3 linked regions of the Notamacropus eugenii genome follow. The protein of the gene in region 2 purifies or fractionates together with the protein of the main gene of each other region. This does not show direct contact. Links are inferred from orthologs where the notes say so. Each region holds a gene or a part of one and is shown on either strand. Other genes may lie near its edges.

Evidence for each region.
Region 1: the proteins of RIOK1 (region 2) and COPRS purify together in Homo sapiens (affinity purification with mass spectrometry; 3 studies listed by BioGRID and IntAct, with this or other methods). This does not show direct contact. The link is inferred for Notamacropus eugenii from reciprocal best matches to the Homo sapiens genes RIOK1 and COPRS.
Region 3: the proteins of RIOK1 (region 2) and CLNS1A purify together in Homo sapiens (affinity purification with mass spectrometry; 3 studies listed by BioGRID and IntAct, with this or other methods). This does not show direct contact. The link is inferred for Notamacropus eugenii from reciprocal best matches to the Homo sapiens genes RIOK1 and CLNS1A.

Annotation. Positions count from the first base shown.
Region 1 is NC_092873.1:311,903,927-311,914,705, forward strand, and holds the start of COPRS (coordinator of PRMT5 and differentiation stimulator), read left to right. Parts: upstream 1-6,491; 5' UTR 6,492-6,584; coding exon 6,585-6,746; intron 6,747-8,624; coding exon 8,625-8,706; intron 8,707-10,270; coding exon 10,271-10,477; intron 10,478-10,630; coding exon 10,631-10,779. Other genes in the region: UTP6 (U3 small nucleolar RNA-associated protein 6 homolog), read left to right, coding at 435-501, 1,146-1,218, 2,131-2,288. UniProt on the Homo sapiens protein: Histone-binding protein required for histone H4 methyltransferase activity of PRMT5.
Region 2 is NC_092875.1:177,887,070-177,897,376, forward strand, and holds the start of RIOK1 (serine/threonine-protein kinase RIO1), read left to right. Parts: upstream 1-5,611; 5' UTR 5,612-5,786; coding exon 5,787-5,857; intron 5,858-7,234; coding exon 7,235-7,436; intron 7,437-10,307. Other genes in the region: CAGE1 (cancer-associated gene 1 protein), read right to left, coding at 4,935-4,956. UniProt on the Homo sapiens protein: Involved in the final steps of cytoplasmic maturation of the 40S ribosomal subunit. Involved in processing of 18S-E pre-rRNA to the mature 18S rRNA. Required for the recycling of NOB1 and PNO1 from the late 40S precursor.
Region 3 is NC_092876.1:125,810,315-125,821,051, forward strand, and holds the start of CLNS1A (methylosome subunit pICln), read left to right. Parts: upstream 1-6,174; 5' UTR 6,175-6,480; coding exon 6,481-6,605; intron 6,606-10,737. UniProt on the Homo sapiens protein: Involved in both the assembly of spliceosomal snRNPs and the methylation of Sm proteins.

The sequences.
Region 1 (10,779 bases), on a different chromosome or scaffold from region 2:
CTTTCTCCTCTTGGCCGAACTTTGCAATTCTCTATCACATCTGCTCTTGAAAGAGATGACTTGTGACCTTTTGGGCCTCATTATGCAGTCTTTGGTACAGACAGATACATGCAGTTGTGAGTGAGAGACTAGACTTTATGTAAAATTCTGCTTAAATAACAGAAACCCCAAAACAACAACTCTAGGTCCAAAATGAGTAATTTGAAAATTGGTTCTTGAAACAGAAATGAGGGATACAAGAAAGATGGGCTGGGGGTGGGGAAATGGAGTTATCAGTCATTTAAAACACTGGTGGTCAGTGCTGGTGCTGACTGGGCCTGAGCCCTGAACTTATCTAGACATCCTGGCTGCTACCCGGGTGCATGGGCTGTGTTCACTATAGGTTCTTCCACAGTGATGGGCACGTGGGAGAAATAAACATTTCTTTTCTGTAGTTTACGTGAAAACCGCCCATTTTCAGTTCAGTTCTTCAGGAGGATGATCCAGATTGAAAAGGAGCAGGTATGTGAGTGTGGGGGCATTGTCACTGTGTCCTAGTTTTTTTGAGAAGCCTCCAGCTAATTGGGGGTGGGGAAGAGGGAGAGGGAGAGTAAGAGTGAGAAAGAGGCTTAACAAATGTGGGTCCCTGGAGTCCCCTGGCCTTGCCCCTCTATAGTGCTGACCATTTAGTAGGTGTGACCAGCAAAAGAGAAGAATCAGAAGCTAAAATACATAGGAGAAAAATACGGGAGTCAGGATCTGGCTTTAGGAGAACAACATCTATGAAAAAATGTCTATAAATTAAGTGACCTCCGTTTACATTATAGACATTTCCCAGGTGAATTTAAAATGTAATTGGATTTGCATGCAAAAGCACCAAGGTGTTATTAGGATCGCTGCTGGGAAAGCAGCCTCTTTCTACCTGCACATGGAAAACAACCCTGGAGCTGAGAGAGCGAAGGACAGGATTCTGTTATATGAAGGCATAGGTAATGATATGGATCAGCTTCTCTTGAGAATATGACGGAAGGAAACAAGTTGAAGATGAAGTAATTGGGATTTAGGAGATTTGGCCAAAAGAATGAGCTTCTTTTCTGATGCTGAGTCAGGCCCCTGCTGGAGGATTGTTCTGTTTCATGAGCTCTCCTGTCTACTTGTTTTGTTAGGAAACCTGCAAGATGTTGAACTTAAGAGAATACTATGAGAGAGCCTTGAGAGAGTTTGGTTCTGTGAATTCCGGTAAGGAACCTTTTCTTTGTTGGAAGTGTGTGTGTGGAGATGGAGGTGGGGTGACTGACTCTCTTGTAAACATATTTTTAGAGTCTGGGTCTTATCTGTGGAGAGGGGTAAATTTGTACTTAATTTTTTCTGTATCCTGGGTCCCTTGGGCCATCAGTCTAGTGAAGCCTCTGAGCCCCTTCTCAGTCACATTTTTAAAAAAATCCCTAAACTACATAAGGACTTTTTAAAGGAAACTGATTATAACAAAGTGCTGTTACCAGAGTACACATTGTGTTGTGTTTGTCCTTCATTCTCAAAGAGGACCATGACATCAAGATGATGACATGATTTGCAGTTGACTTTGATTTGAGTGAGGGAGGGCTGTGCAAGGTCACCAACTTCACTTTCTTCTGAGCCATCTGGGTCTAGTGGCCTGATATTCATCAGGACGGCTGGAGATGGCCCAGGATGCAAGGTGAGACCCTGGCCCTTTCAGGTGAAGGTCTTATCACATTCTGACTTTGAGTGAGATACACCCATTCAACAAATAGGCTTCTTTAGGTAGTTACTCCAGGGATGGCCCCTTTAATGAAAAAAAAAAATCAAACTGGGAGGGGAAGACCCTCAGGGTTCCAGGGTAAAAGAGAAACAATTACTACTTAGTAATTACGTTGACTCTGTGCTAGGTGGGTGTGGACTTGTCCAGTCTATGAGCTCCAGAGTGAATTGGGTTAAAGCTTTATCTTCAGAATACACATATATAAAAATGAAGACCCTTAACCTAAGAGCATCATTTTTTGAGTGACCTGAGCTCTTCTGGCCTCCAGAACTCTTGGGTCTGGTGAAGGCCAGTGGCCTGCTCTTTGCTGGGACAGCATGCCTGGGGGGTGGGGTGCATACACTGGTGTGACTGATTTTTCTTCTTTTAAGACCTGTGGTTGGATTACATCAAGGAAGAGTTGAACCACCCTTCTGGCAAACCAGAGAACTGTGGGCAGATCCATTGGAGAGCCATGAAGATGCTGAAGGGAGAGCTGGTGGAGGAGTTTGTGGCCAAATACACTTTACTGCAGATTGGCCAGTTGTAGGAAGAGTAAACAGCTGGACTTGTGAACTCTTTTTATAAACCCTTGTGGTAGATCGACATTGCGGGTGGATCTACCATTTGTACAGAGATTTTTGCCTTTGATTCCCAGTAAATACTGAACTCTGCTCTCTGACTCCTAACTAAGAGACTTGCTCCTTCTTGGATTTCCATTTGACGGCTTTATCTGGAGGAGAGAATTTAGTGAAAGACTGTTGTCCATCCAGAACAGAAACAAACGTCTACTCTCCCATTGACCTTTTCCAGAACTGACAAAACCTGAACATCAATCATTCTTCTTTCCTGAGTGGAGGGAATAAGTTTTTGTCCTCGTCTTCTTGGTCCTGTCCCTTCTGGGTTTTGTTTGTTTATATTTTGAAAGGCAACAAGAACATTTCTTTTCTGAAAAACTCCCAAAGTGTATTTGAGCTCATGAAGTTTAATAGAGGGAGAAGACACACTCTTGGCAGTCCTATCTTTTGAAAATACTTAACAAAATATTACAGACCTAGAAGAAGACAGTTTTAGGGCAGGGGGTCCTCATGCTTAGCAAACTGCATTATATTAACCACTTGTGTTACATAGTCACAAGCCAATGAAATGCCAGTCCTGAAGAATCAAGATTGGAAATTACTTAAAGAACAGCAAAGAATACTTTATGGGCATAAATAGGATACAATTTGTTATCAAGGACAAATTGTACACATGGAATGTTGCAAAAAATTTTGGAATTGTAGGATGGGAAAAAGTGGTGATGTTGAAGTTTGGAGCTGGGCTTAAAGAGGGGAGCCTGAGGTTTAGAGCCCATAACTGGGAAGATGGTGGTGGGAGGGACATTTACCATGGAGAAGAGAAGGCTTGGAGGAGTAGTGAGGGGGATGAAATGTGATAACAGTCTTCAAGTATTTGGGAGGCCATCCTGGGGAAGATATATCAGACTTGTTCTGCCTGGCCTCAGAGGGCAGAACTAAGTTATGTTTGGAAGTTAGAGAAGGCAGATTTTGACTCTTAAAGAAAATTTTCTTAGAGATTCTAGGGCTGTGTAATCTTGGCATGGACAGGAAGTAGTGAGCTCTCCTTTATCATGGGTCTTCAGTCCCAATTAGGTAACCAGTTGTTAGAAATGTTGGAGAGGTAATTTTTGCTTCAAGTTGAGAGTTATACTAGATTACATTTAAAAGTCCAACTCTGATTCTGAAATGGGGAAGTTGTGAGGAAGGGGACATTTTGGGAATCTTAAAAAAGTCTGTGAGATACTCAGGTAGACATTTGCAAATACAAGATTCAAACTCCAGGGAGAGATTTGGGTTCAATACATAGATTTGGAAATCATGGACACAGGTGATAATGCTGTGGTAGTGGATGGCAGTGTGGAAAGGTGAGATGAGTCACAGTTAACTAAAAGCACAAGCCCCTCATGTCTGGTGCAAAGGACTTCAATACTCCATCTGAGAGAATTGGGTCTGAACTGTACTGTATGGGGTGATTCCTATCACTTAGCCCCCATCTTGTGGGTCTAGTAGCAGCTGAAGATCACAGTTTATAGGCCAGGTCAGAATGGGAAGTAGAGCACAGGGAGGAACATCCTCTGATGATTTTTATTGGTTGGGCTACCCAGCCTACGCTGTAGGATACAGGGTTAGTGGGGAAGGTATGGGGTTAAGGAGGAAAGGGGTTGGTGAACTCCTGAAGAAGGTCCTAATGAGACTTCTGGAGGAATTAATTATCAGAGGTGAATACAGAGTATAATTATGGGATCATACAGAAATATTACAATTTTTGGAAGCTACAGGGCTCCTTGCCTCCAGTTCCTTCCCTTTAGAGGCACTAGGTAAAAGCACATCTGATTGTCACACCCCTTCCTGCTGCTTCTAGGAGAAAACGTGTTTGTCCTTCATTCTCAAAGAGGACCATGACATCAGGATGATGACATGACTTGCACTTGACTTTGATTTGAATGAGGGAGGGCTGTGCAAGGTCACCAGCTTCACTTTCTCCTCCAGAACCATCTGGGTCCAGTGACCAGATATTCATCAGAATGCAATGTGAGACCCTGGCCATTTTAGGCTAAGGTTTTATCACATTCTCACTTTGAGTGAGATACACCCATTCAATGAATGGGCTTCTCTAAATAGTTACAAAATCAAACTGGGAGGGGAAGATTCTCAGGGTTCCTGGGTAAAAGACACGGTTACTATTTACATATACTCTGTGCTAGGTAGGCAGGGACCTGTTGTCCAGTCTTTGAGCTCCAGAGTGAATTGGGCTCAAGGCTTGGTCTTTGAGCAAGAAATCTAGCCAGTAAACCCAAAGGAAAAAAGGCAGCTTCTGGCAGTTACTTTTTTCTGGGTAGAGCACCCCGGGGAACGTCAGAGAGGAGAGGAGAGGATTAAATAGTAACTGTTTCTCTTTTACCCAGGAACGCTGAGGGTCTTCCCCTCCCAGTTTGATTTTTTTGTTGTTGTTATTAAAGGGGCCATCCCTTAAGTAATTACTTAGAGAAGCCTATTCATTGAATGGGTGTATGTCACTCAAAATGAGAATCTAAGACCTTAGCCGAAAATGGTCAGGGTCCCACGTTGCATCCTGGGTAATCTCCAGTTGTCCTTATGAATATCTGGTCCCTGGATCCAGGTGGTTCTGGTGGAGAAAGAGGCTGGTGACCTTGCATAGTCCTGCCTCCCTCAAATCAAAGTCAACTGCAAGTCATGTCATCATCTTGACGTCATGGTCCTCTTTGAGAATGAAGGATAAACACAACCTTTGAGTAGCAGTTCCTCTCTTCTCTGCCCTTGCCTGGGGTGCTCTACCCAGGGGGAAGTACACTTCCATGACCAAAAGTTACCTTTTTTCCTTTTGGTTAACTGGCTAGATTTCCTGCCCAAAGACCAAACCTTAAACCCAATTAACTCTGGAGCTCGAAGATTGTACAACAGGTTCCTGCCCACCTAGCACAGAATGAATGTAAATACTAAATAGGAGAAAACACCAAGTAGCTTTGAAAGCTCATCATCCCTTGGCCCCGTTGGATGATCCTCTTCCACTTGCCCCATGCTCATCTGGGCGTCTGACCCTCCTTGGGCCTCTCTGGATCAGCCATTTGAACCCCTCAGCATTGACCTTTGCCCCTGAAGTTACTGCCTTTGCCTCTGCCCCAAGAGGCCCAGCATTCTCCCTCCCCCATTTCCCTAGTGCTGCATATAACTGCTTGGTATGTTACGTATTTTATATGTGCTTTGCATTTGAAGTGGCCCCCACTGGAATGGAAGCTCGGTAAGAGTCTTCATTGTCACCAGCACCTAGCATAGTGCCTGGTATGTAGCTTTAGATGCTGGTCGGTTATGTGGGTCATCCAGTTCTGCTGCTTCTGCAGGACAGACCATGGCAATTCCCAGTGGGACCCAAGGCCTAAAAAGAGGAGGGGGCTGGACTGGATGGTTTCAAAGGCTCTTTTCATTCTGGGTTTAGGATGAATGAGGCTTTTGCAAATTCTCTCCCTTCTGCCCAAGTCCTCACCTAGGCAGAGGATGAAGGGCAGGGAAGACACGCGTTTGGAGGAGAGCACAAAGCTTCTAGGTTTGGCTCTGCTCGAGGCTCCGCCAATGTCCGTCAATCAGAATTTGCCCCGCACCAGCTGCCGGAGGCTGCCGAAGTCCTGGTCGCGAGGGTGCGGATCTTGGTGGGAGACAGCTTGCTATATCGGAGATGCCAGGTAGTGGGGGAGACGGGAGCTCCTCTAGATGAGCGGGGCTTTGAAGGAAATGGGAGGGCTGAAGGTAGGGGTCAGGAGGGCGTGCCCTCCAGCCCCGGGACTGGAAAGGGTCGAGTGCCCAGTGCAGGTCTGTCTGGCCGGAAGGGGCGATGCACGCGTCTGGAGGAGTGGTCCATGTGCCCCGGGCTGGCGGCAGCCGGCGGGTCCGGGCCGTGTTCCGCCCCCTCGGCGCGTCTTCGAGGCTTCTGGGCTGGACGGCGCCCGAGGCTCCTAGCAGCCCGGCCAGAGGTCGTCCTCTTTGGGGATTGACGAAGCTGGCTCACCCTGACCCCGGCCTCTAGGCCAAGGCCAACCACCTGCTAAGGCTAAGCCCCATCTCGGCTCCTTGGGAGGGGTCACCCGGCCGGGACATCCTCGGGGATTTCCGCCAATGGCCGAGCGCGTCAGACAGACCACGCCCCCGGGTCCACCACGTGACCCAAGCCACGCCCCTGATTGGCGCTCCTTGTTGCCTTTCGGCCGGCAGCATGGGGAGGTCGTCACGTGGGGGCGGTGGCGGCGGCCGTGGCGCCTCGGGGACTGGCGGGCATGGAGCCGCTGGCTGCGGGGGCCGGGGGCGGTGAGGGGCCGACAGCCCCGGAGGGAGAGCCGCCGCCGCGGGGCGCGCGGGCTGGGGAAGAGGAGGAGGCGCCGCCGCCCGAGCCACTGCCGGAGCCGGAGCGGCGGGAGGAGCCGCCCAGCCCAGCGACGGTAAGGCCGGAGCCCCCCGCGCCCACCCGAGACGGGACCGAGGCCGCGGCGCGGGGCCACCACGGTCCCTCCGCGCGGCCCCTCAGGGCCGGGGCGGGAGGCCCACAGCTGGGAGGGAGGGCGGGAGGCCGAGGGCCGCAGACTTGAGCCGTCCCATCCACGGGCCCCTAGCCACCTGCCCCTCCCCCATCCGGCGGGCACCTCCTCCTGCCCTTCCTCCTTAGCCTCTCCCAACTTTTCCCCTGCCCCTCACTTGCCTTCTCCCCCCATCTCTCCTGGGTCTGTTCTTTACCCGCGCTCTCCCCCCGCTTCTAATACAACCTGTGAAGCCCACTCCCGACTAGGTAGTGGCCTTCGGGGACCCTGTGCCCCGGGGGCAGAGGAGGGGGCGGTAAGGAGGCTTCTCCAGTCTTCAGGTGGCATCTACTGTGGGAGAATCGGCCAACCGGCAGGTACTTCGGGTTTTTTAAGTGCCCACTCGTGCCGGGCCCTGTGCTCAGCTGGAGGGGGCTCGCTATCTTGGGGTTCCCCGAGGCTGGTGAGGAGTGAAGGGATGTCAGGCCCGGCGGCACTCCCTGCGCTGCTCTGCTGAGATTCCTCCCAGGAACAGGACTGGGCTGCTGTGCCACGGGTCCTTAGGTAGATCTGAGGAGTCTGTGAACTTGATGGGGAAAGAAATGACATCTTTACTAAAGTGTAATTGGTTTGCTGTGTAATCCTACTTATTTTCTTTTATGCATGTAAAAGCATGATTCTGAGAAGTAGTTCATAGGTTTCACCAGGTTGCCAAAGGCATCCAGGGTGCAAAAAAGATTTAAGAACTCCTGCTTTGAGGAATCTGCCCTTAAAGCAAGCAGCCCACCACGGAATGCCAGGAGTTCTATTTCACTCCTTGAAAGTCTTTGAAAGCATGTACTGGTGGTAGGAAATTATTCAGTCCTAGGTCAGATCCTGACCTCAGGGGGACCCTGCGTGAATACCCTAAGAAACATTAGTCATCTATCTGGTTACCTGCAGATGTTCAGATAGCAAACCTTGGCTTTGTATGCACAACTCCACATTGTGCCTGGCTTAGTAAGTCTTTGGAAAGGCTCCTTAAACGGACTAAGGTCCTCTATACTCGTTCTGTTCTGCCCTAGTGAGAGAAATATCAGTGAATAGGTGGAAACTATACTTCACCCCAAGAAGACAAAAACTCCCCAGATAAGAAGCCAAGATGGTGGTCAGCATGCAGGTTTTGTGCACGTTCTGTCAGGATGAGGAGAGTAAAGGTTCTTTACCTTTCTTATGCCTTTCACCTCTTGGACTGATAAAACTGAAGGACCCTCAGAATCATTGTTGTTAAATGCCTAAAATAAAATATACAGAACTGAAACCAGTTATTGAAATTCAGGGATCAAACTTTTAAAAAACTAGTGCACAGCCCTAGGTTGATAACCTTTATCGTAGAGAAAGGATAAGTGAGGGGTGGGAGGGAGTAGACTGTTGTAGAGTAGATTTTTTTTCATCATTCCATGGCCAGACTGGGCAGGGAGAAGCATGTGCAGAGGCTTGTATCATTAAGAGATGGATGGAATCTCCAGGGGTGTCTAGTCAGATGCCTCCTTTTACAGATGAGGCCCAGAGAGGGGAAGGGATGGCCTGGGACACGTGGGTGCTTATCACTTCTCAGTTTGAGACAGTATCTTGAGGAGCATTGAGACTTTGAGGGGCTGTTCGAATGGAAGGAGAGAACATTTAGATGGGCTTGTTGGGTAATGGTGTGGGAAGAAAGCATGCTGGTTGCCCAAATTACTTTTACAAAAATATTACTGTTAAGTGATGGTTATTTTCTTTCAGCCAAGAAACAAAGTTCCTAATTGTTTTTCCTTTGTTCAGGTCAGCTTGGCTATGTCTGACCACATCTATCAAAAGAAGGAAGGAGATGAGGATGGGGTCATGAGATGGAGACCAAAACTAGGCAAGTAACCATTACTAGGCAGATGTTCAGGGTCAGAAGGTGGGAGTAAGTGATAGAGACAGAGGTGTCCTCAGTCCCCGTGCTATGCTGTGCTGGTTCAGCTTGGCCCTAGAGACCAGAACCAGGGGTAGTGGATGAAAGCTACGAAGAGGCAGATGGAGATTTGTTACCAAGAAACCCTGGCTAACCATGAGCTTCCCAGAAGGGTAGTGGGCTGCTGTCTGGTAACTTTCAAGCTGTAGCTGGATGACCCCTGTCTGGTGTGCTTTGGTGAAAATTTCCCTTTCATTAAGAGTTGGACTAAAAAGTTGCTGCTAAGTGCCATGGAGGTTCCTTCCAACACTTTGTGGTTCCTTGAGAGCACCTTATTCTAGGTTAAGTTCTAAATTAAAGATACTACACCCTGCCTTGGGATCTGGGTTGAGATCCTCAACCTGTGCAGCCTGAGGTGGGTGCCTTGGCATCTCCTGCCTTCTCTTTGTTCCACATCCTGTCTAGTCTGTCTTCTTTTCTGAGCTGTACACCACCTCTTTTGTGGATTATTTCCCCTCAGAGTTGCCTGCCCAAGCTGCATCAGATATCTAGAACTTTCTTATCTGCCCCAGATTTTCTTTCATCATTTAGATGGCTCCTAAAATCCGGCTTTTACCACAAAGCCTTTTTGAATTCAAGTAATACTGATGGTTTCTCCCATCTGCCCATCCTATGTCTCTTGTGGCCAGGATCTTCCGAGGGTCCCTGTTCCCAAACTGTGTCCTAATGTGCTCTCTCTCCCCATGCTAAATGGGGAGATGAGGGGCAGAGAAGTAATGAGATGAGACTACTCAGACTTGAGTGTTCTTTCTTCAAGATACAGTGCTGCCTTTCATATATGTTTATCTGTGCATGCATATGTGTACATTGAGAATCATTGGATTTAGCCCTAAGGAGCGTAGAAATTATCTAGTGGTATCCAATTTATTCAAGTGTGACATCAAAAAATGTAGTAGAACTTTAGATGCTCTTTGGATCCTTTGGGAAAACTAGAGGATAAAAAGTCTCCTATTAATTGAGTAATACTTTTAAACAAATTGATACTAAAACAGCGTCTGTGTAGATTTGAAAAATTAGTAATATTTAAAGGTTTGAGACACTGTTTAATACACAGAAGCATATTTACTTATGTAATAGTGAGCAATGCTAGGGATTTAGATCTTACTTTGAGGGGCTTTCACAAGATACCTTGTCCCCTCAAGGCTCTAATGCAAATGAGAAACTGCTGATTTTGTCTAGCCCCTTTTTTTATAGTTGGGAAACCATTGTTGGTGACTTACATATAGAGATGTGTACACATAAGATTTATTTTTTGGGAAAAAAAAATAAGACTGTCTTCCAAAGCCGAATAGAAATAAATTTGTGTTATCCTAATCATCACTTTCCTCTGTCATTGTTGTTAATTGGGAATTTGCTATCCTTTCCGTTAGGAATTTGCTTTTATTTGAAGAACTCAGAACAACCTGATGGCCATTCTTGTGTTTATCAAACATTTATAGAACTTTTCCTTCTCTCTTTGCCTGCATTGCAGCCTGTGGGGCCCAGAATGTACTCATGCAAGGGGAGAGTGACCATCCTGAAGATGATGAGATGCAGGAGTATGAGGACTCTGAGGAAGACTTGAACTGGGAGCTGGAAGATGGGATGGAGAGCATTATCCCAACAGAGCAGAAGGCTGAGCCTCCTGTTAAGGAGGATTGGGACAATGAGCTGATTGCTGACCAAGGGAATCCGTACGGTAGGTGTGGTGTTCCCTTTGGGCCCTGGAAGAACTGAAACTAGTGTTTGATTTCCCAGCACCTCCCATGTATGGGTGCAGGCCTGTGACCCCCCAGCTGCCTATAATTAATTACAGGGGCTTTTTTCCTTTATTTTTTGAAACTTCTTTTAGGTGCTGACGACATCCACCGTGCCAGCATTCAAGAATTCTGTCTCTGGGCACCTCGGGCCCAGCAAGGAGACATGATCTATGACCCAAGCTGGCACCACCCTGCCCCCTTGACTCCCCACTATTCCAAAATGGTGTTTGAGACGGGGCAG
Region 2 (10,307 bases):
TATGTCTTGAGTACCATGTGTGATGAACAGACAGAAGGCCAGTTTAGCTGTACCTTGGAGGGCAGGAAGGGAAGTAATGTATAAGTCTGGAATAAGTCTGGAAAAAGAAGTTGGAGACAGGTTGTGAAAAGTATTAAATGTCAGAGAAATTTATATTTCATTCTAAAGGCAACAAATAGAGAGTTTTGGGAGTTTATTGAGGAGAACAACATGTTTAAAAAAATCAGTTTGGAAGTTGCATGGAAAATGGATTGGTATAGGGAGAGACTTGGGGCAGGAAGACAAATTAAGACTTCATTCCAAAGGTTCAGGCATTTGGTAGAAAGCTTTAATTAAAGTGGTGTCTGTGTAAGAACAAAGAGATGGGAAAGATATGGTGGAGATGGAAATGGTGAGACTTGACAAATGATTGGTATGTGGGATGAAACAGAGTGAGAAGTTGAGGATAACATCAACATTACAAATCTGTACGACTAGAAAAATGGCAGTACCTATCACAGGCAAGCTTAGTGGACCAAGGAGTTTAAGGTCAAAGATAATGAATTTTGTTTTAGGACATGATAGATACTTAAAGGACATTTCTTTGGCAATATCTAGTAGGCCAATTGGTGATGACAAACTAGACCTCAGAAGAAAAACTTGGGGCTTGATCTATGGCTCTTGGGAGTCAATCAAATCAATTATATTTGCAGGTGATTGTGCACTCAATGCAGCCTCTGAAGCTGAGATATAACAAAGTATGGATCAATTCTCTGCTGCCTGTGCTAATTTTAGCCAACTAATTAACACTAAGAAAACACAAGTGCTCTATCAGCCACTATCATTCATACGTGGAACCACTGGTTACAACAAACAGGGAAGTTTTGAATGCTGTGGATAAGTTCACTTACCTTGGTAGTGTACTTTCCAGGGATTTGACAATGAGGTTGACGCAAGCATTGCCAGAGCTAGCTCAGTGGTTGGAAGGCTCCGAAGAAAAGTTTGGGAGAGAAGAGGTATTAGACTGACTACCAAACTGAAGGTCTACAGAGCCGTTGTGCTGACCTAATTGTTGTATGCCTGTGAAACATGAACAGTCTACCAGTGCCATGGCACGAAACTGAATCGCTTCCATTTGAACTGTCTTAGGAAGATTCTGAAGATCACCTGACAGGATAAGATACCAGACACTGATGTCCTTGCTTGAGCTAAACTGCCAAGCATTCAAACTGTGCTTCAGAGAGCACAACTCTGATGGGCTGGTCATGTTGTTCGAGTGCAAAATATACACTTGCCAAAAAGACTGTTTTATGGAGAACTCGCATGGGGCAGGCGATCACACGGTGGTCAGAAGAAGCCATATAAGGACACTCTCAAGGTCTCTCTCAAGAACTTTGAATTTGATTGAGGGACATGGGAGACACTGGCATAGGACCACTCAGCATAGTGTGCCCACATCAGAAAGAGTGCTGTGCTCTATGAGCAAAGCAGAATTGAGATAGCACAAAGTAAGTGTAGGACGTGCAAATTTGGAGTATCCCCCTCAGGTGTTCACACAGACTATTTGTGCCCAGTCTGTGGTAGAGCATTCCAAGCTCATATTTGTCTGTTCAGCCACAGTTGGACACATTGAAACTTGACTTTATCATGGTGATGTCATTTTGGTCCTCTTTGAGAATGAAAGACAACAGCCAGACACTGCTAAGTACTGGGGGTATGAAAAGAGGCAAAAGATAGTCTTTGCCCTCAAGGACTTACAATCTAATGGGAGAGATGACATAAAAAACCCCCACAAAACAAGATATATCCAGGTGTCAGGACCTCCAAGGCAAGACCACTCCTCTCTTTTCTTACTATTAGGAGAAACCTTGTTTTCCAGAGCTAAGGCCTAGTACGCAATATGTGCTCTGAATTTGGCATAACAAAAATCCTTTGTGCTCATCCTCTGCATGAATTCTGCTGCAGTTAAATCACAGAATTCGATCTAGCCAGTCCCAGGTGGTTCCTGAACTCAGATAAGCACCTGCATGAACCACACTGTGGTCATGAAGCCCTACTATGCATAAACTTTTTTGCCACTAGGCAAATTTGCCTCATTGCTTTGGTTACACCTCACTGTCTGGTTCTTTGTCTATCCACAACTGTATGTATCAAGGCTTAGCCTCAAAGCCGTGGGTCTCCTCAGTCTTAGAGGAGGCCCTGGAACACGTTTAGTTTCCCTCTTCCAATGGAATAAAGAAGGCTTTTTGCTCATAGCCTGAGAGCTTACGTTTTCAGCGTCAATAGTTGAGGTACAACCTCCATGAGCTCTTTGGTATTTTCAGAGTTAACACTTGGTGTGTAACTTCTGTGGCTCTTTGGTTATTTATTTTCAGGTGACACAGGATAAATAGGAAATAATTAGCAGAGGTGAGGTGCTGGAATTAAGAGTAGCTGGGAGAGGTTTCCAGTAAGAGATGTGATTTTGGTTGGGTCTTAAAAGGAAATCAGGGAGGTCAGGAATTGGAAGAGAGAAGGGAGAGTGTTCCAGGCATGGGGGATGACCAGAGAGATACCTGGAGTTAAAAGATGGAGCCAGGAGGCCAATGTCATTGGATCAAAGAGTACACAGTGTGGAGTGAAGTGTAAGAAGATTGGAAAGGTAGGAGGGAACTAGGTTATGAAGGTATTTGAATGCCAAAAAAAAGAACATTTTGTATTGGTTCCTTGAGGTAATAGGAAGCCTGGAGTTTAATAAGTTGGGATGGGGTGACATGGTCAGACATGAGCTTTAGGAACTTTACTTTGGTAGCTGAATGGAGAGTGGATTGGAGCAGGGAGAAACTTAAAGCATGAAGATTATTTCAAGCTATTGCAATAATCAAGGCATGAGGTGATGAGAGCCTGTACCAGAGTGGTGGCAGCATCAGAGGAGAGAAGGGAGGCAAATTCAAAAGATGTGAAGGCTTTGACAAAAACTTGGGTGTGGAGGGTTAGAGAGAGTAAGGAATCCAGGGTGATTCCTAGGTTGTGTGAAGGGGCCTGTGACCTTGTTTTCTTGAGTTGCCTTATTTTCCAGAGATGAAGCCCCCCTGAACTAACATAACAGTGATTTTTTGCAGTTGGACTTTATTAAACTCTCAGCGTGCCCTTGAAGCTAAGTCAGCTACAAACCTGGCTCCGACCAACATAACCCACAGTGATAAACTGTGTAGTTGAGACCCTTTTGGATAAGCAGAATATCTTTCCTCCATGGGGAGGAGGAGGAGATTGAGCTTCTGCCTTTCTGCTTCCTCATCCTACTGCTCCCTTTCCCTTCCCATGCCACTATCCTTTGAGAGGCAATTATTGCCTTTCTCTCATCCCATAACCCTTACATATTCAAGGCCTTGCCTGCATTGTTGGCTTCCTCTGCACTCTATACAAGAAGGGACCTAGAATGCATGTTCCTGCAATAAAATAAGTTATGACTTAAGTCTTTTGGAGTTGTGACCACTTTTGAACAGTTGTGAGCCTGAGGCATAGGGAAGAAGGTGTGGCTCTCTATAGTAACAGGGAAGAATGGAGGGCAGCTAAATGGCACAGTAGATCTGAGTGCTGGGTCTGGAGTCAGAAAGATGAGTCTAAGTTCAAATCTAGCCTCAGACACCTACAAGCTTCATGACCCTCGGCAAGTCACTTAACTTGGTTAGCCTCAGTTCCCTCATCTGTAAATGAATTGAAGAAGGAAATGGTGAAACCACTCCAGTATCTTTGCCAAGAAAACCCCAAATGGAGTCACAAAGAGCTGGATGTGACTGATCAACCAAGGATGGCAGGGTTTAGGGGGAAGAAAATGAGTTCCATTTTGGACATATTGAATTTAAAATATCTACTGGAATCCAGTTTTAGATGTCTTAAAAGGCAGTTGGAAATGCAAGATTGGAGAATATCAGAGAGATTTGGACAAGATAGGCAGATTTGAGAATCATCAGCATAGAACTTGTAATTAAATCCATGGGAACTGAGCAGATCTCCAATAATGAAGCCCATGAGAGTTGATGATGTCAATTAAGCAAGAAAAGAGAAAAAAGGCCAAGGACAAACATTACCACAGTTAGGGGTATACCCACTTTTCAGAATTTGGACATCCAGCAAAGGAAATGGAGAAGAGGTCAGATGAGTAACACCTAGGAGAACCAGGAGGAAACATTGACATGAAAACTAAGAAAGGAGAGAGTATATAGGAATATGAGAGGGTCAACACACTCAAATGCATCTGACAGGTCAATGAGAATGGAGAGTGAGAGAACATCAGAATAAACACTGGCTATTTCGGAGAGAACAGCAGAGATGAGGCCCAAAACTAGACTGCAAAGGGTAAGATAATGTATGTAAAGCACTCAATACCCCTTAAGCCTGTATAAATGTGAGTTTGGCATTCAAAGCTTGCTGAATTTTTAAAAAGAAAGTGTTGTAGTCTATCAATTTTGATTGAGGACTCAAATTTCTAGTTACCCTCTGCATCTGTTCACTCTTCATAGTGCAGTAAACTACACCCCTCTTCCCCCAGACCCCCTCTATACAATCTGGGCAAAACGCTTAAAAAACAAACTCCAGAGCCTAAGTTAGGCTTTCTTCCCTCTCCCCATCATATCCCTGGGCTTTAGTAACACAGTACTGCCCCCACTTCTTTTAGAAGCCATATATATACCTGAATCCATTTACTCCACAGCTGTTCTTTTAAAAATCCAGCTGTTACATTAATGCTCTTTTGAAAAAAATAAATGTGTGGTATTTTCCTCCCAACTCTCCCTCATACCCCAATCAGTCCTTCGAGGTAAAACTAAAAAAACCCAAAAAACCCAATATAATTGGCCACGTGGGATAACTTGTAATATACCTCATTCCGCACCGGTAGCACACCACCCCTTTCTGGAGAGGCAAAGCACATTCCTGCTCTTAAGGTAGAGTTAAAGAGGAGACTTTGCACTTACAGGAAAACACTAGAAGATTCATCGTTTTCTTTAAGAGTATGTTTTTTCATTTTTCAAAGTTCTTTCACATTTCTCTTTTGATGGTCACCAGAGCCCCCCAACAGTTTTTAAAAATGCTCATGTGCTCACTTTCGGGCTCCATTGAGCGTTCCTGGGTCTGCAGCCCGGGTCTAGTGCTTCGTTCCTCCCGCACGGCCTGCCGTGTGCGGGAAGAGAGGTGTGGGACCTCTTACTCCCACAGATGGCTTTGGAAAATAAAGGCTGTTGGGAGCCAGGCGGCGCCAAGATTCCACAGTTGTGACAACTTGCCCGCGATCAGCCAATCCCAGAGCGAAGAACACGCCTGACGCGTTCTCTAGCCCCGCCCCTCTCCTCACGTGTCTTCAGAAGCTCAGGGCGTGGATTGGCTGCAGCTGTACGGGGGAAGGGGGCGGAGCCAACGGCCGAGCTGGTCTATGTGGGCCTATTGCACCCGTGCTTCTTTATTTGCTCCTGCCGTGGTGACTCCAGTTACCAACTTCCGGTCTGCCAGGACTTTCTCCGGGGTTCGGTGAAGTTAAAGGAACAGTCGTTTATCCGTGCTGTCGTTGGCTAACTCGCGGAGTCCTTGGTTTTTTTGGGGGGGAGGGGGCGTGTTTATTGTTTGTCCCTTTCGGCTCTCCGTACCTTCGTGAATTCCAGCCGTTCTGCTCTACGTGTGGAGCACGCGGCTTGCGTGGAAGAGCCGGAGACCACGTGGGCCCGGGGAGTGACGGGAGCATCCTCGGAGCCGGGGCGCCCGGAGCCCCTGCAGCTTCCTGTGCCACCGGCACCCCATCGAGCCCCGGCGGGCGAGCGCATCCTGCTTCCGCCATGAACTACCGGGAGCAGCTCATGAGCCGGGCGGTCCCGGGGCAGTTCGATGATGCTGACTCCTCTGACAGGTGAGAGGACCCGAGCGGCGTGCGTGGGGCTGGGGTCCCATCCCCCTGCGCTCCGGGGCTCCGTCTCCTCTGCCCCGCTTCCTGCCTTGGGCCGCAGTACGTGGCCGCACGCAGACCCTCCGAGCTAAGGGTCCTGCAGACTCCCCCCTTTAAGTGTTTGGGGTCAGGAGGTGTCTTTGTCATCAGAGCCCATCATTCCAAGCCTTTCACCGAGTTGATTTTATTTCAGTTCAGTTTCTTTGAGGAGCGAACATCGTTGTCCACTTGGCCCCATCCTTGACCCTCTCTCCTCCACATCAAGCTAAAGCCATCTGCATAATCAAACGAAACAATTTCTGCTTTGGACTTGTCCAAAAGATACAGCGTGACCCAAAAGTCTTGGTGCTTTTTAAAACCGTAGGAAGACTTTGGGTGTCTATGTTTACTGATTTTTTTGTACCCTAAAGTCCATCCCCTCTTTTTCAGGAGGTAAAGTAGCATATTTCATCATAAGTTCTCTGGCATTGTTTCACTTTTTTTTTTTGGTGTGGTCCTTGTCCTATTTTTTTTTTTTACTTTTCCCTCTAAATTTATTCATTTATTTGTTTTCAATTTTTCGCAATCACTTCTGTAAGTTTTAAATTTTCTCCCCTTCCCTCCCCAAGGCAGCATGCAGTCTTATATGGGCTCTATACACATATTCTTATTAAACACATTTTCGCATTAGTCACATTGCATAAAAGAATTAAAACGAATGGGAGAAAGCATGAATGAAACTAAACAAAACCAAACATAACAAAAGAAAAAATAGTCTGTTTCAATTTGGGTTCTGACTCCATTGTTCTTTCTCTGGATGTGGGTGACATTTTGTATCAGGGGTCCTTTGGAAATGTTTTAGATCCTTGCATTGCCTTAGCTATTTTCAAAGGCTACGGTGATATTTTGTTAATATGTCCACAATTGCAGTGTTGTCGTAAACACAGTAGTGTGTACATTGATTCCAGATGTCTCAAAATACAGCATTTTGTGCCTTTTTAAAAACAACACTTAAAAAAGTTTTCAATTAACAATAAATCTTTGTTTTTGTTTTACCTATGGGGAAAAAATCCCAGAATCCTTGGGATAAATATGCATAGTGAAACAAAATAAATCCCTTTCTTGGCCATTAAATATATATCTTAATCTGCACCCGTTTGTATTTTTTGAAGTTTGTTTAGTTATTTTAAAAAATTAACTTTGATTAAGTTTTTATTTCTTTTTGTAAAAGTGTCTCTTATTATTAAATGGAAGTACAAATGCCTTGAATTTCCTAATGACTTGAGATTCACACATCTGTGGCATTTTTGTCATGTTACCTTAGATCGCATGTAACATCATCTGAAAAATTCCTGTTTTTAGTGGAAGTACAACCAGCATGGAAACAAGCCAAGAGGAGGAAGATACATCTAAAAATTCTCACCAGACTTTGAATGAAGTTGATGAAGAAATTCAGGAAGATGATTATGAAGATTATGATGATGATGATGATGATTGGGACTGGGATGATGAAGTTGGGAAAATTACTAAGGGCTCTTGTTCATCTGGAGGCAGTAACCCACAGGTATTTTATAAATGAGTTTTTGATATCTTTCTAGTATGTACCTGTTTGCTTTTAATACAAGCTTTCATATCTACTGTATTGCTCTAAAACAAGATCAGCTAACCTTTTTTTCTGCCATGGTCTACTTTGATAGTCAGGTGAAGTCTGTAGGCCCCTTTTTGGAATGTTTTGTTGCCTACAGTCATAATTGGAGGAAATGATAAAATTCAGCTAAAAGGTTAGTGAAAATAAAGATGTAATTTTTTTCCCATTCAGATTCACTGACCCTCTGAAATATAGATTCTGCTTTAGAACTTAATACCTAGAAAAGATCAACTAGAATGATCTTTTCTTCTTGCTAATTCATTTTTCTCTATCTCTATATTTTGTTTTTAACATTTCATTCATTTCCAAATATAGCCTTCCCTTGATACAAAGAAGAAAATGGGAAAAAAACCAATTCATCAAAGCCAACTCATTCACAGTGTATGACAGAATATGCAAGCTTTCATACCTGCCTTTCTCAACTGTTCAGTTTTTATTCTGGTTTTTGAAAGGTGAGGTGATAATGCACCTTGGGTCATACATCTAGAACCGGAAGGGACCCAAGAGCCCATCTCTTCCAGACTCCTTGTTGTATGGGAGTTGTATGGGAGATGAAGACTAGCAGTAAATCTAGAGGTGGAATTGGAAGTTGGAGAGCCCAACCCAATGTTTTTGCTATTGGACCACACTGCCTCCATAGGGGACTGCATGTACTTATTTTGTGTAAATTAAAATCTAACATTTATGGATCTATAAAAGAAGAACTTAACAAATAATCTAAAACTACACCTTATTTGCAGAGGTAGAGAACTATAATTGAATGTTTTTCTTTTTTTTCTTTTATTCTTTGTGACAAGATTCGGCCTTTTGGTAATTGGGGAGAGACATTTGGAAATCAAGACGTAAAAAAAGTATAAAGAAAAATTAAAAATAAGATTTTTATAACACTAGGGAAAAATAATCTTACCTATGCATTGTGGTATAATGGAAAGAGGTCAGAACTTGAAATCTAGAGAGACTTGAGTTAGAATGCTGCTTCTGTGACCATAGGCAAAACCTGTCTCTGAACCTTAGTTTTATCAACTGTGAAATGGAAGTAATTCCTGTAGTGCATACCTTATAACATTGTTAGGAACATGCGTGCCCACACATACACACACACACACGCTTTTAATAATCTTAAAAGTGCTATGTAAGTGTCAGTTATAAAAATAACTTGGGTCAAGCAGAGTTGAGTATTTAACTAGGATGATTTATTATTATACTTTTGGTTACAGTTTATAAGTTTGTGTTTATATTTGTTAATTGTAGAAATTTCAGGCCAAAAAACTCTCCTTTTTATCTTTATTTTCTGTTTATTTGTGATTTATATATTCCATGTAATGTTTTTTTTCTCTTCAGGATATTCTTTTCTTCAATTTTTATTGGATACCTAGTAAGTGCTTACTGTGTAAGCATTGAGGAAGCAAAGGAAGGTGAAATGGTTCCTTTGCTCTAGGAGATCACATTTCAGTGGCTGAGACATATCCCCACCAGTCTACATAATATGTAACGTTTCCCTGTATGGAACATTGTTTCATTTCATTTTTATTAAGTGCTTTTTGTGTTCTGGGTACTGGGGAGAAACAAAGGAAGGAAAAAGCAGTCCCTGTGCTCTCAGAGCTTATATTTTAATGACTAAGACATTATAAATAACTTAGGTCCATACAACATCTGTCCAGAGTAGATGGGAGGCAGTCTGACTAAGTAGGACACTAGCATCTATCTGGTAGAGAAAGACCTCTTGCAGAAGAAGAGATTTGAGTTGAGTTGAGTCTTGAAGGAAAAACCAGGGAAGTTAAGAGGTGAGGTGAGGTAGGATGGGGGTGGAGGCCAGTACAGTGGCACAGAGATGAGAGTGGAAGTGCAAGTGGGCCAGCGTTTCTGAGTCATTGAGTATGTGGAGTGGGGTAAAGTACAGGAAAAAGGCAGGTTAAGAAGGGCTTTAGATGCCAAAGAGTTTGTTATTGGATCCTGTAAGCAATAGGGAGCCATTGGAGCTCATGGAGCAGGGGGATCAGCATGATCACATCTGTGCTCTAGAAGGATCACCTTGGCAGCTGAATGGAGGCTGGATTGGGGTGGGAAGAGACTTGAAGCAGAGAGGCGTTAAAAAAGATATAGCAGAGGTATGGGAGAGGAGATGAACGCCTGAATTAGGGTTATAATTGTGAGTGGAGAGAATGAGACATTTGAGAGATTTTGAAGGTAGAAATGACCAGATTTGGCAACAGATTATGTTGCAGAGGGATGCAAAAGTAGAGTCAAAGATGAAACCAAGGTTGTAATTGAGAGCATGGTGGTACCCTTAAGAGTAATGGGAGTGTGGAAGGGGTATTTCTGAGGAGGGAGGGAAGAAAAGGCTAATATTTTCTCTTTTGACCATGTTGACATTAAGATAACTACAGGACATCAAGTTCCAAATGTCCAAGATCCAATCAGTGATGAGGGTCTGTAGCTTGTGAGAGAGGCTAGAGCTGGACATATGTGTATTGAGGAATCATCTGCATAGAGATAGTTAAACATGTGAGAGCTGATACGTCACCAAGGGTGGTAACAGAGCAAAAAGAAAAAGCATACCAGTGATTGAGCCTTGGAATGAAGGTCATCTGCAATTAGTGGGCATGACTTAGGTAAAGAACCAGCAGAGGAGCCACATAATAAAGAGAACCATGAGAGAGCAATCATAGGCATCTGGAAGGGAGAGAGAATCTAGGAGATCATCAACAGTGTCAGGTGCTACAGAAAGATCAAGAAGAATGAAATTTGAGAAGATTTACCCTTATGAGCTCAGTGGCAGTGTTAAAG
Region 3 (10,737 bases), on a different chromosome or scaffold from region 2:
GAGCACAGCATCTTTTCTGATGTGGGCACGCCATACTGAGCAGTCCTGTGCCAATGTCTGCCATGTTGCACAGTCAAATCTAAAGTTCTTGAGAGAGACCTTGAGAGTGTCCTTGTATCACTTCTTCTGACCACCATGTGATCACCTGCCCCATGTGAGTTGTCCATAAAATAGTTTTTTTGGCAGACATACATTATGTATTCAGACAACATGACCAGCCTATTGGAGTTGCACTCTTTGAAGCATAGTTTGAATGCTTGGCAGTTCAGCTTGAGCAAGGACTTCAGTGTCTGGTACCTTATCCTGCCATGTGATCTTCAAAATCTTCCTAAGACAGTTCAAATGGAAGTGATTCAGTTTCCTGGTGTGGCATTGGTAGACTGTCCATGTTTTGCAGGCGTACAACAATGAGGTCAGCACAATGGTTCTGTAGACCTTCAGTATGGTAGTCAGTCCAATACCTCTTCCCTCCCAAACTTTTCTTGGAACCTCCCAAATGCTGAGTTAACTCTGGCAATGTGTGATCAACCTCATTGTCAATGTGTATATCCCTGGAAAGTACACCACTAAGGTAAGTGAATTTATCCACAGTATTCAAAACTTCTCTATTTGTTGTAACCAATGGTTTCATGTATGGATGGTGTGGTGGTGGCTGGAGTACCTGTGTTTTGTTGGTGTTAATTATTAGGCCAAAATGAGCACAAGCAGCAGAGAATTGATCCATACTTTGCTGCATCTCAGCTTCAGAGGCTGCATTGAGTGCACAATCATCTACAAACAGGAAATCATGCACCAACATTCCCTCTACTTTGGTCTTGGCTTGTAGCCTTTTCAAATTGAAGAACTTACCATCAGTACAGTAGTTGACCTTGATGCTATATTCATCCTCACTGAAAGCATTTGACAACATGGCTGAAAACATCATGCTAGAAAGCACGGGAGCAAGCACACAGCCGTGTTTCACTCCATTGGTGACTGGAAAGGCATGAGAGATAATGAGTCCATTATCCAGAACCCGGGCAAACATGCCATCATGAAATTGTTGAATGTGGAAGAACTTCTCTGGGCAACCAAATTTTGACATAATTTTCCATAAGCCCTGACAACTAATCGTGTCAAAGGCCTTGGTCAGATCTACAAACGTTGTATGCAGACCTCTGTTCTGCTCCTGGCATTTCTCCTGGAGTTGTTGGGCAGCAAACACCGTTATCCACTGTTCCTCAGCCCTTTCTGAAGATGAATGAGTACATACATACATATATGTAAATGAGTGGTAGTTATGTTTCTAATACTACTTTGAAAGAATATCCAGGTAGCAGCCCCTAGTTAAACTGAATTCCCAGGTGCTCAGCTTTTGTTGCCAATATTTACTGTAGCTATACAAAGACAATAAAATCCTTAGAAATCCTGAGTTAATCTTTCCATTAAATTCCTAGGAAGTAGGAGTCATTCAACAGTGTGATAGTCTGGAGCTGTGATAGGGCTGGAGCCAAGAGACATGGGTTTGAATTCTAGATCTGATACTTTTAATAGTTGTAAATCATCCATAGCGTACTATGACCTTGAGCCTCAGTGCTTTCTCCTATAAAATAGCGATAATAGTACTTACTCCTTGCGTGACTAGGGTTATCATGAGGAGAGTGCTTTATAAACCATAAAATACTAAATCAACTTAAGTTGTTATCATACAAAATGTTTTAACTCTGAATTCTCCAGAACCTAGCACAGTATATTCCCCATATCTCAGATTTAGAAGGGACTCTGGGAGTCAGTCAATAAACTAGCATTAATTAAACACCAATTATATGCCAGGCATTATACTAAGAACTGGGGATACAAAGAAAGGCAAAAGACAGTTCCTACTCTCAAGGAGTTCACATGGGGGAGACAACATGCAAACAAGTCTCAACAAACAAAATACACACACACACACACACACACACACACACACACACACACATAAATGGGCAGCTAGGTGGCGAAGTAGGCTAGAGTGCTGGGCCTGAAGTCAGGAAGACCCATCTTCATGGGTTCAAATCTGGCCTCAGACACTTATGCTGGGTAAGTCACTTAACCCCTGTTTGCCTCAGTTTCCTCATCTGTAAAATGAGCTGAAGAAAATGGCAAAGCACTCCAGTATTTTTGCCAAGAAAACCCCAAATGGCGTCAAGAAGAGGCAGACACAACTGAAAAAAACAACCAAATGACAACAATTCATGGTCATTGTCTAATTCAATAGTGAACTATGTCCAGTATTTTGGACTGATATTAGAGGGAGTCTCCAGACTGCAGTGTCTGATTGGAGTCTTTGAGCATAATGTGGCCATTGTTAGTTTGAATTCAATGGGTATTTCAGTGGAGATATTTTTAAAATGATTTATTGTACTTTTAGCATCTGCCAGGAAACATAAATATTCAGCCAAATAGGAAAGAAGATTAAATTGTACATGGAACTGTAAACTTCTACTATGGGGTATTTTAAAAGTGTTAATATTATCTTTCACAGAGTGGTAACAAAATTGTTCTATTTGTTTCTATGTCCCCTTTTATTTTCCGGTCAATAAAACCCTTAGGGTACTTTCCAAGTAGTAGTCCTAGGGATTAAGTGAAGGGTTAAAGGATATGAACAGTTTTGTAGCCCATATTGTATACTTCTTTGTTGCTTTTCAAATAGATTGTAGCAATTCACAGTTTCACTCCTGGTTATATTGATCCTATTTTGCCTAATCACTTGAGTATTACATTTTTATCATTTTTAACAATCACTGCTTAATTGATGGATAGAATCAATCAGGTAGAATCAATCTCAGAGCTGCTTTAAATTGCATTTCTCTAATAATTCATTACTGCAGAATTTAAATACACATTACTTTTACTGTCTTCCATTTTCAAAGACTGATGGAAAGTTCTTCGTGTTACCAAAATGATCATTCAGAGTTCACCACTTTTTTCCATATTGCACATACACATGGAGGCTTAGTTCATTGATATGTGGCTGTAGGTCACTACTCTGCTGCTTCTCATCCTTGCAGCATGCCTGAGTTTTTTTGTTCAACAAAACCAGTCCAATTCAGATGGCCAGGATTGCGGTCAGGAATGTGGCAGAAGGGATCTTTCACTGAAGAGGGCAGAGGGAAAGCAGAGGGAGAAGAAGGAAAACCATTTTATCAGAGACGGAGACCTGGAAGGGATCTATCTTAGAGGCCATCACATCCAACCCTCTCATTTTACAGAGAAGGAACTTGAGGCCCAGACAGATGAAGTAATTTGCCCAAAATCACACAAACAGTAAATGGTAGAGCCAAGCTTTGAACCATGTCCTCTGATTCCAAATCCAGCTTTTTTCCCCACTCTACAATTCTAGGAAAAAGAGGTGGTTGGATCTGATAATCACTAAGGCTTCTTCTAGCCCTGAAATTTTGATTTGATAAGCCAAGTTTACCAACATGGCATGTCATCTCCTGTGGCTTAGTGCATCCTAAAAGCATTTCTTCTACCACCTCCATCACCCCAACATCTCCTTCCTCCCTTTATGATTTTCCCAATTGAACTCTCCATATGACATTTTCAACAATGATGTTTGAATTAAAACATTCCCATATGAGGATTAATTGAAGGGAATATTTAGCCTAAAGAAGAGAAATCAGGGATTGTATTCAGGAATTAGAAAAGCTATCAAGTGAAAAAGGAATTAGCCTTATTCTACTGTACTCTAGAGAGCAAAAACTAGGATCAGTAGATTAAAAATAGATGGATAGGACCAATAGATAGAAATAGAAGAAATATAGATTTCAGCTCATTATAGAGAAGAACTTCTAAGTAAAAAGAACTCTGAAAATGGATTGAAATGCATTAGAGCTATTAGAGATGTTCTAGAAATTTCTGCTTGAACACTCATCAGGCTTGGCACAGGACCACTGACTGGAGAGTTGGACTAATCCAATCCATCAATCAACATTTATTAAGTACCTACTATGCCAGTTGCTTCGATAATAACTGGAGATACAAAAAGAGGCAAAGGACAGTTCCCTTAAGGAACTCATAATAGACGTTGCAAATAGTAACTAGCAAACAAATATACACAAACAAACTGTACACACACACACACACACACACACACACACACACACTAAACAAGAAGTAATTAGCAAGGGGAAAGATACTGGAATTAAGAAGGGTTAGGGAAGGCTTCCTGTAGGAGGTGAGATTTTAGTTGGGAGAAGCCAAGGAGGTCAGTTGTCAGAGCCAGAGGGAGAGTGTTCTAGACATGGGGGACAGCCCTGGAGAATGCCCAGAGTCAAGAGATGGCCAGTGCCAGGGAAGGAAGACTGTGTGGCAGGGAGAAGGTTAAAGAAAACTGGAAAGGTAAAAGGCAGCTAGTTTATAAATGGCTTTGAATGCCAAATAGAGCATTTTGTATTTGCTGCTGGAGGCACGAGGGAGCCACTGGAGTTTACTGAGTAGTGAGGGAAGATGACATTGCTGGACCCACACTTACAGAATATCACTTTGGTGACTGAATGGAGGACAGATTGGAGAGGAGAGACTTGAGGCTGGCAGACCCCATCGGCAGGCTACTGCAGTAATGATCCAATTGCAAAGTGATGAAGACCTGCACCATGGTGGTGGTAATGTCAGAAGAGAGAAGGGGACATATTTGAGAGATGCTGGAACATGGAAATCAACAGGCCTTGGCAACAGGTCAGATAAAGGGAGTGAAAGAAAGTGAAGAGTCCAGGATGACTCCTAGGTTATGAACCTGAGGGACTGGGAACTCTACAATAACAGGAGGATAACAGGAGGGGAGGGTTTAGGGCCAAAGAGAATGAGTTCCATCTTGGAAGTGTTAAATTTAAAATATCCAATTGTATCAAGCTAGAGATAATTGAAAGGCAATTGGAAAGGGGAGATTAGAGGTCAGCAGAGATTATGGTGGGATAGACAGATTTGAAAGTCATGAATATAGAGATAGTAATGAAATGCATGGGAGTTGATAAATCACCAAGTAAAGCGGTATAGAAGAGAAAAGGGCCCAGGACAGAAGTCTGTGGGACCACTTTGCTATCTAATGGTCCTTCTAAATCTGAGACTTGGTTATTGGGGAATTTTCTTGACCTCTTGGGAGCCTACCCATCAAGGGTTGGTAACTGAGCCAAAGATAAGAGGACTTGCTGAAAACATTCCAATAACAGCAAATCAGCTTTCTGGTGTGGACTTGGCTTGTTTAGCCTTTCACAGCCATGGCCAATGGCAATGGCATTTCAGCTTGTGAGACCGGTGGCAATTGAGCATAGATAGAGAAGTAAAACATTTCTCTGTAAACAGAGAAATGAGTCAAGGGAGAAAAGGGGAATATTTGGAATGCCAGTGGCAGGCTTTATACATTCCAGTTCCAGGGCAGGAGACAAAGGGAAGAGCCCCAATACTTCTACTGTGGTGAAAACAGCCCTTTAAACAAAACGGCCGGCTTTCTTCATCCTAAGACAGCAAGTATGGGTTACCACAGCGGTTAAAGCCCACCTGCCGCAGGCTTTCCGGTGCCCTGGCTTGGGGGCTGGAGACTGCGATGTTGGGCACTGCTCAGATGCCACCGAGACGTCCTGAAGTGACTGTGGTTCCTGTTTCTCCCCCTACAACGGTTCGTTCAGAACACTTAAAATATCTTGTTGGTAGACAGCGGCCAAGAAGCGGGTACGCAAAAGACGGCGAGCTTCTCCAGCCGCAGCGAGGCCCACGCGGGTCCTGGCCCCACGACGCAATCCTGTTGCCCTTCCGAGTATCCTCTCCTGGCATCTCAGAAGCGGGCTTCGCTCCGGAGCCCTTGGTCAGGAGATCAAACGGCCGTCCAACCGGGCACCCACAGCGCAGGAGCTTCCTGGGGGCACTGCCCATCCGGGGCCCGGGCACCAACTGGCCCATGCCCAACACCTGCCCTCCGGGGCATGCCCAGCACGCCCCAGGTCGTGCTTCACCGATCGTGGGGGACACACGTTTCCAGCGACCACCATCCGGACCGGTCGCCCCACCCGCAGAGAGGTTCCCCCTCCCGGGCCTCGCCACGCCAGGGCCACGCTGCCTCGGGCGGAGCTAGGTCAACGCCCTCCCCTTCCAGGGGCTCATTCTACACCTGGGGAAACTGAGGCTCGGACAGGAGAGAGCAAGCGAGTGGCCCAGAAAACACCGCGAGTCCAGGAAAGAGCCCGGATTGGAAACCACGTGTCCCGCCCCCAAGACCAGAATGGGTGGGAGGGAGGGAGGCGGGCCGGTCTTCCAAGACCAGCGACCACTCTTCCTAGAAAGGCTCTGACTACTCCAGAGCGGAGGCGGTGGGCGGGGCTTAGCCGTCCTAGTCCTTCCGGGGTGGCCAGCCTCGCCCGGCCCCTTTCCTTCCGGGTTCGGGGCGAGCGTGTCTCCTTCGCCTGCGGTCCAGCCCCCCTCCCTGGTCCGCGGGCGGACACCGCCACCGCCGCCGCTGACAGAATGAGTTTCCTGAAGAGTTTTCCGCCGCCCAGCCCAGAAGATGGGCTTCGGCAGCAGCAGCCCGACACCGAAGCGGTGCTGGACGGCAAGGGCCTGGGCACCGGCACCCTCTACATCGCCGAGAGGTAGTGGCGCCGGCTTGAGGGGATGAGCGCGGGCGCGGCGGACCTTAGCGCTCGCCTAACTCCCGCCCCGTGCGTGGGCGCGCTCTCGTAGCCGGGGGCGGGGGGCGGGGGAGGAGACGGGATGCACGCATGCGCGCGTGTGCAGGTGTCCGGCGGCGGAGCCTCCTCGTGGGCGTCCCGGGCGGGCCGGGGGCGGTTGTGGCCGCGCTCGGAGTTCTTTGCCCCTGGGCGGGGCGCGGCGCGGGGCTCCGCTGGGGCGCAGACCCACTTTATCCCGCGTGTTTGCCCCTGGGGGGCGCGCCCCCTCCCCCATCGGCCCGCGACCGCTCGAGAGGGGGCCTGGCCGGCTCTTCCTCTTTGTGTCCCCGGCGCTTGGCGCAGGGCCCGGCGCGCAGTAGGGGGGCAATGAGTATTTGCTGACTGACCCGTAGACCCGCCGCCCGCACCGACGGAGGACCGGCCCTTGAGGGAGCTCGGCGTGGGGCTCCGTTTGCCCCTCCCGCCCACGGAGCCCTTCGCGACCTCTTCTCGAGGGCGTGGTTAAATTGGGGAAGTAAAGCCGCCTGTGGCCGTGCCTTCGGCCGCGAGCTAACACCTGTTTACCAGCCAGCCGTCTGTGCGGGAGAAATCCGCAGTAATGCCCCTGCCTTGGGGGAACTGGGGAAGGCTCTTTGGAAAAGGGAGGAGAAATCCCTCCAGCCCAAAAAGTAAAGTTCTGTCGTTCAGAAACGGAGCTGCTGCGGACTGAGAGCCGCGAGTGTGCGGAGGAAATGGGAGCGTGGGGCTACGGGGGAGCCAGAATCCCTGACCCGTGCTGAGATAGCCCCTGTCCCCTGGCGGGGAGATCCCAAAGCCGGCAGCTGTCCCTCCCTCTTAAAGGTGCTGGGGAAGAGTGCCCTCATGGTGAGTAAGCACAGTGCCAGGTGCTGGGCACCTGGAGAAGGAAGCTGAGGTGGGCCGAAGTTAAGTGACACCCCCGGCCCGGGCCTTGTAGCCGCCTCCAAGGTGTGCCCTTCGGCACGTGGTGCTGTAATGGGGGCTTCAACCAGGAAACATCCATTGAAAGCCTTTGCCTAACGAGTATCGCTCATTCCAGATACGTCTCTCGCCCAACTTGAGCCCTTTCCCCTCTGCCTTTCCTCCATTCATTTTCCACTTTGACTGTCCTCCTTTGGCCTTCTCCACCATCCCTTACCCCCTCCCCCACCTCCCCTTCAGCTTTCTTTTATATGTTGTCTTCCCTCTTCAGATTTCTAAGTTCCTTTAGGCAGGGACTGTTTATCACATTTGTATTCCTTGTACTAGCACAATTCTTGGCACATAGTGAGTAACGCATAATTATTGACTGACTTACTGAATTCTGCCATCCTTCCTTCTTACTGCTCCCAGATGAACCTTTCTGCCAAGTAAAGTTCATTCTCTTGCTTGTCTTTGAAGATTCTTAAAATCTGGTAGCACCCTATCTTTCCAACCTTATCCTGTTACACTGCAGCTCTGTGTTTTCCTGCCATTCTGAGGTTCTCTGTGCCTGAAGTATTCTTCCCTCCTCTTCACCTCTGATTTTCTGCTCATCTTTTCAGGCCAACTCAAAATTCTTGCTTCTTCAAGAAATCATCTCTGAGTCTCCCGAATCAAAAACAACATCTTTCCATACAGTACTGTTTTTATGCTTGGATAATTCACTTGGGTATTTTATAAGATAGTTTATCTATACATACGCTTTATCGTTAGATGTTAAGCTTTATGAGGGCATAGGGGAAAGATTATGAGTTTAATTTGGGACATGTTGAATTTAAGGTGTCTGCTGGACCTTCAGTTGGCAGTGTCTGAAAGGTAGTTGGAGATGGGAGACTAGATGTCTGCAGAGAGATTAGCTCTGGACAAGTAGACCTGAAAGTCATCTGCATAGAGGTGATTGAAACCGTAGGAGTTGTCCGTTGTAACTTGGAAGCTGCTAAATCTTGTATGATCCTAACCTGTGGCTCCACAATATTTGTTTCTTTCTGGCTTCTTGCAATAGTTCCTATTTGACCTGGAAGCTTTGGAATTTGGCAGTGATATTCCTGGGAGTTTTCATTTTGGGATCTCTTTCAGGAGGTGATTGGTGGATTCTTTCAATTTCTGTTTTACCCTCTGGTTCTAGAACATCAGGACGCTTTTCCTTGATAATTTCTTAAAATATGATGTGTAGACTCTTTTTGTTCATGGCTTTCAGGTAGTCCAATAATTCCTAAATTATCTCTCATTCTTTTTCTGAGGTCAATAATTTTTCCAATGAGATAGTTCAATTTTATTTCTTTTATTGTTTTTACTCTTTTGACTTTGTTTTATTGCTTCTTGAAGTCTCATGAGATTGTTAGCTTCCACTTGCACAATTCCAATTTTTAAGGAATTATTTTCCTCACTGAGCTTTTGTACCTCCTTTTCCATTTGTCCTATTCTGCTTTTTAAGGAGTTCTTTTATTCATTGAATTTTTATGCCTCTTTTACCATTAGGCCAATTTAGATTTTTTAAGGTGTTATTTTCTTTAGTGTTTTTTTTGGGGGGGGGGGGGCGGCTTCTTTTACCAAGCTGCTTATTTTCTTCATAATTTTTTACATCACTTTCATTTCTTTTCCCAATTATTCCTCTATCATTTTCTTTAACTCTTCAAGGAATTCTTGCTAGCCTTGGGTCCAATTAGCAGTTTTCCTTGTAGCTTTGCTTATGCCTATTTTCACGTTGTTGTCTTCTAAGTTTATGTCTTGGTCTTCCCTGTCACCATAATAGCTGTTTATGATCAGGTACTTTTGTTGTTGCTTGTTCATTTCCCAGCCTATTTCTTCTATTTGAATTTTATGTTAAAGTTGGGTTCTGCTCACCTCAGAGTAGGGAGGTGTTTTGCCAAGCTTCAGGCTTTTTCATGCTTCTGTTTTCAGAGCTAGTTCTAGAGACTTCTTAGTGCTACTAAGGTCGTGTTATTCTGGAAGAGGTATGTCATTGCTCTCCTGGTCTGCACTCTGATTTTTAAGGAGGAAGGGCTCCTGTTCTCCTGAAGCCACAAGTACTAATGCCCCCTTGTGGCCTACCACATGTACTTTTCTCTTCTCCGGAACTGGAACCCAGAACTGCTTGTAGGCAATACAGTTGCCAATCAGTGCTAGCTGCACCCACTGCCAGCAGAAGGTCCCCTGTCATTTCTTTCTGACCAGTTGTCCTATCCTCTTACTGTTTTGGGGCCAAGAGCTGAAGCTGCTGCTGCTACTGTTGCAGCTGCCTTCAAGGCACAGTATTGGCTAGTGCTCCTTCTATGCTCCAGGCTTGTGTCCACCCTGGTGTTACTGAACTCTTCTCCTCACCTCCTTAGTAGTCTCAGACTGCAAAAAATGTCTCCTTCTGACCTTTTGTTGGCTCTGCCACTACAAAATTTGATTTGAGGAGTTCTGGTTCCTGGCCTGTTCTCTGTCATATTAGAAAAATCTAGGGAAAGAATTCTTGAATAAAGGATAGCAATCAAAAAAGAGAAAATAGCCAGTTTTATCAACATAAAATATAAAGACTTTTGCTTGAATAAAATCTGAAGACAGAAGTGAAAAGGTAGGGTGGGAAAACAGTTGCATCAGATATTCTGGTATTCAAAATAGAGAGGTTATAAACATAAATATAGTAAACCAATAGCTATTTTCCAAAGGTCGAAGGAAATGAACTAATTTACAAAAGGTTTGCAAATTTTTGACCACATGAGAACATGATCAGAATCGCTAATAGTAGGAAATACACATGATATGCTTTCAAGTTGGATGATCCAAAGACATCTCAATTTCAGCATGTCCAAAATTAAACCCTCCACCCTTCCAAACTTCCCATTTTCTGTCAAAGGCATCGTTGTCCTTAGGGATTCAAGTTTGTAATCTTGTCATGATCTTTAACTCCTCTCCTTCACCTCACACAGTCATTTGACAAATCTTGCCTTTTCTACTTCCACAGCATGGATTGTAATTGATGACCCTTCCTCCACTTCCAGAGCTGCCACCTTAGATCAAGCCCTCATCACCTTTTCCAACTATCTGTGTGTGTGTCCAAGATTTGATTAACTCCTATGGCTTCCTATTGCCTCTAGGAAAAAAAATATCAACTCTATTTAGCTTATAC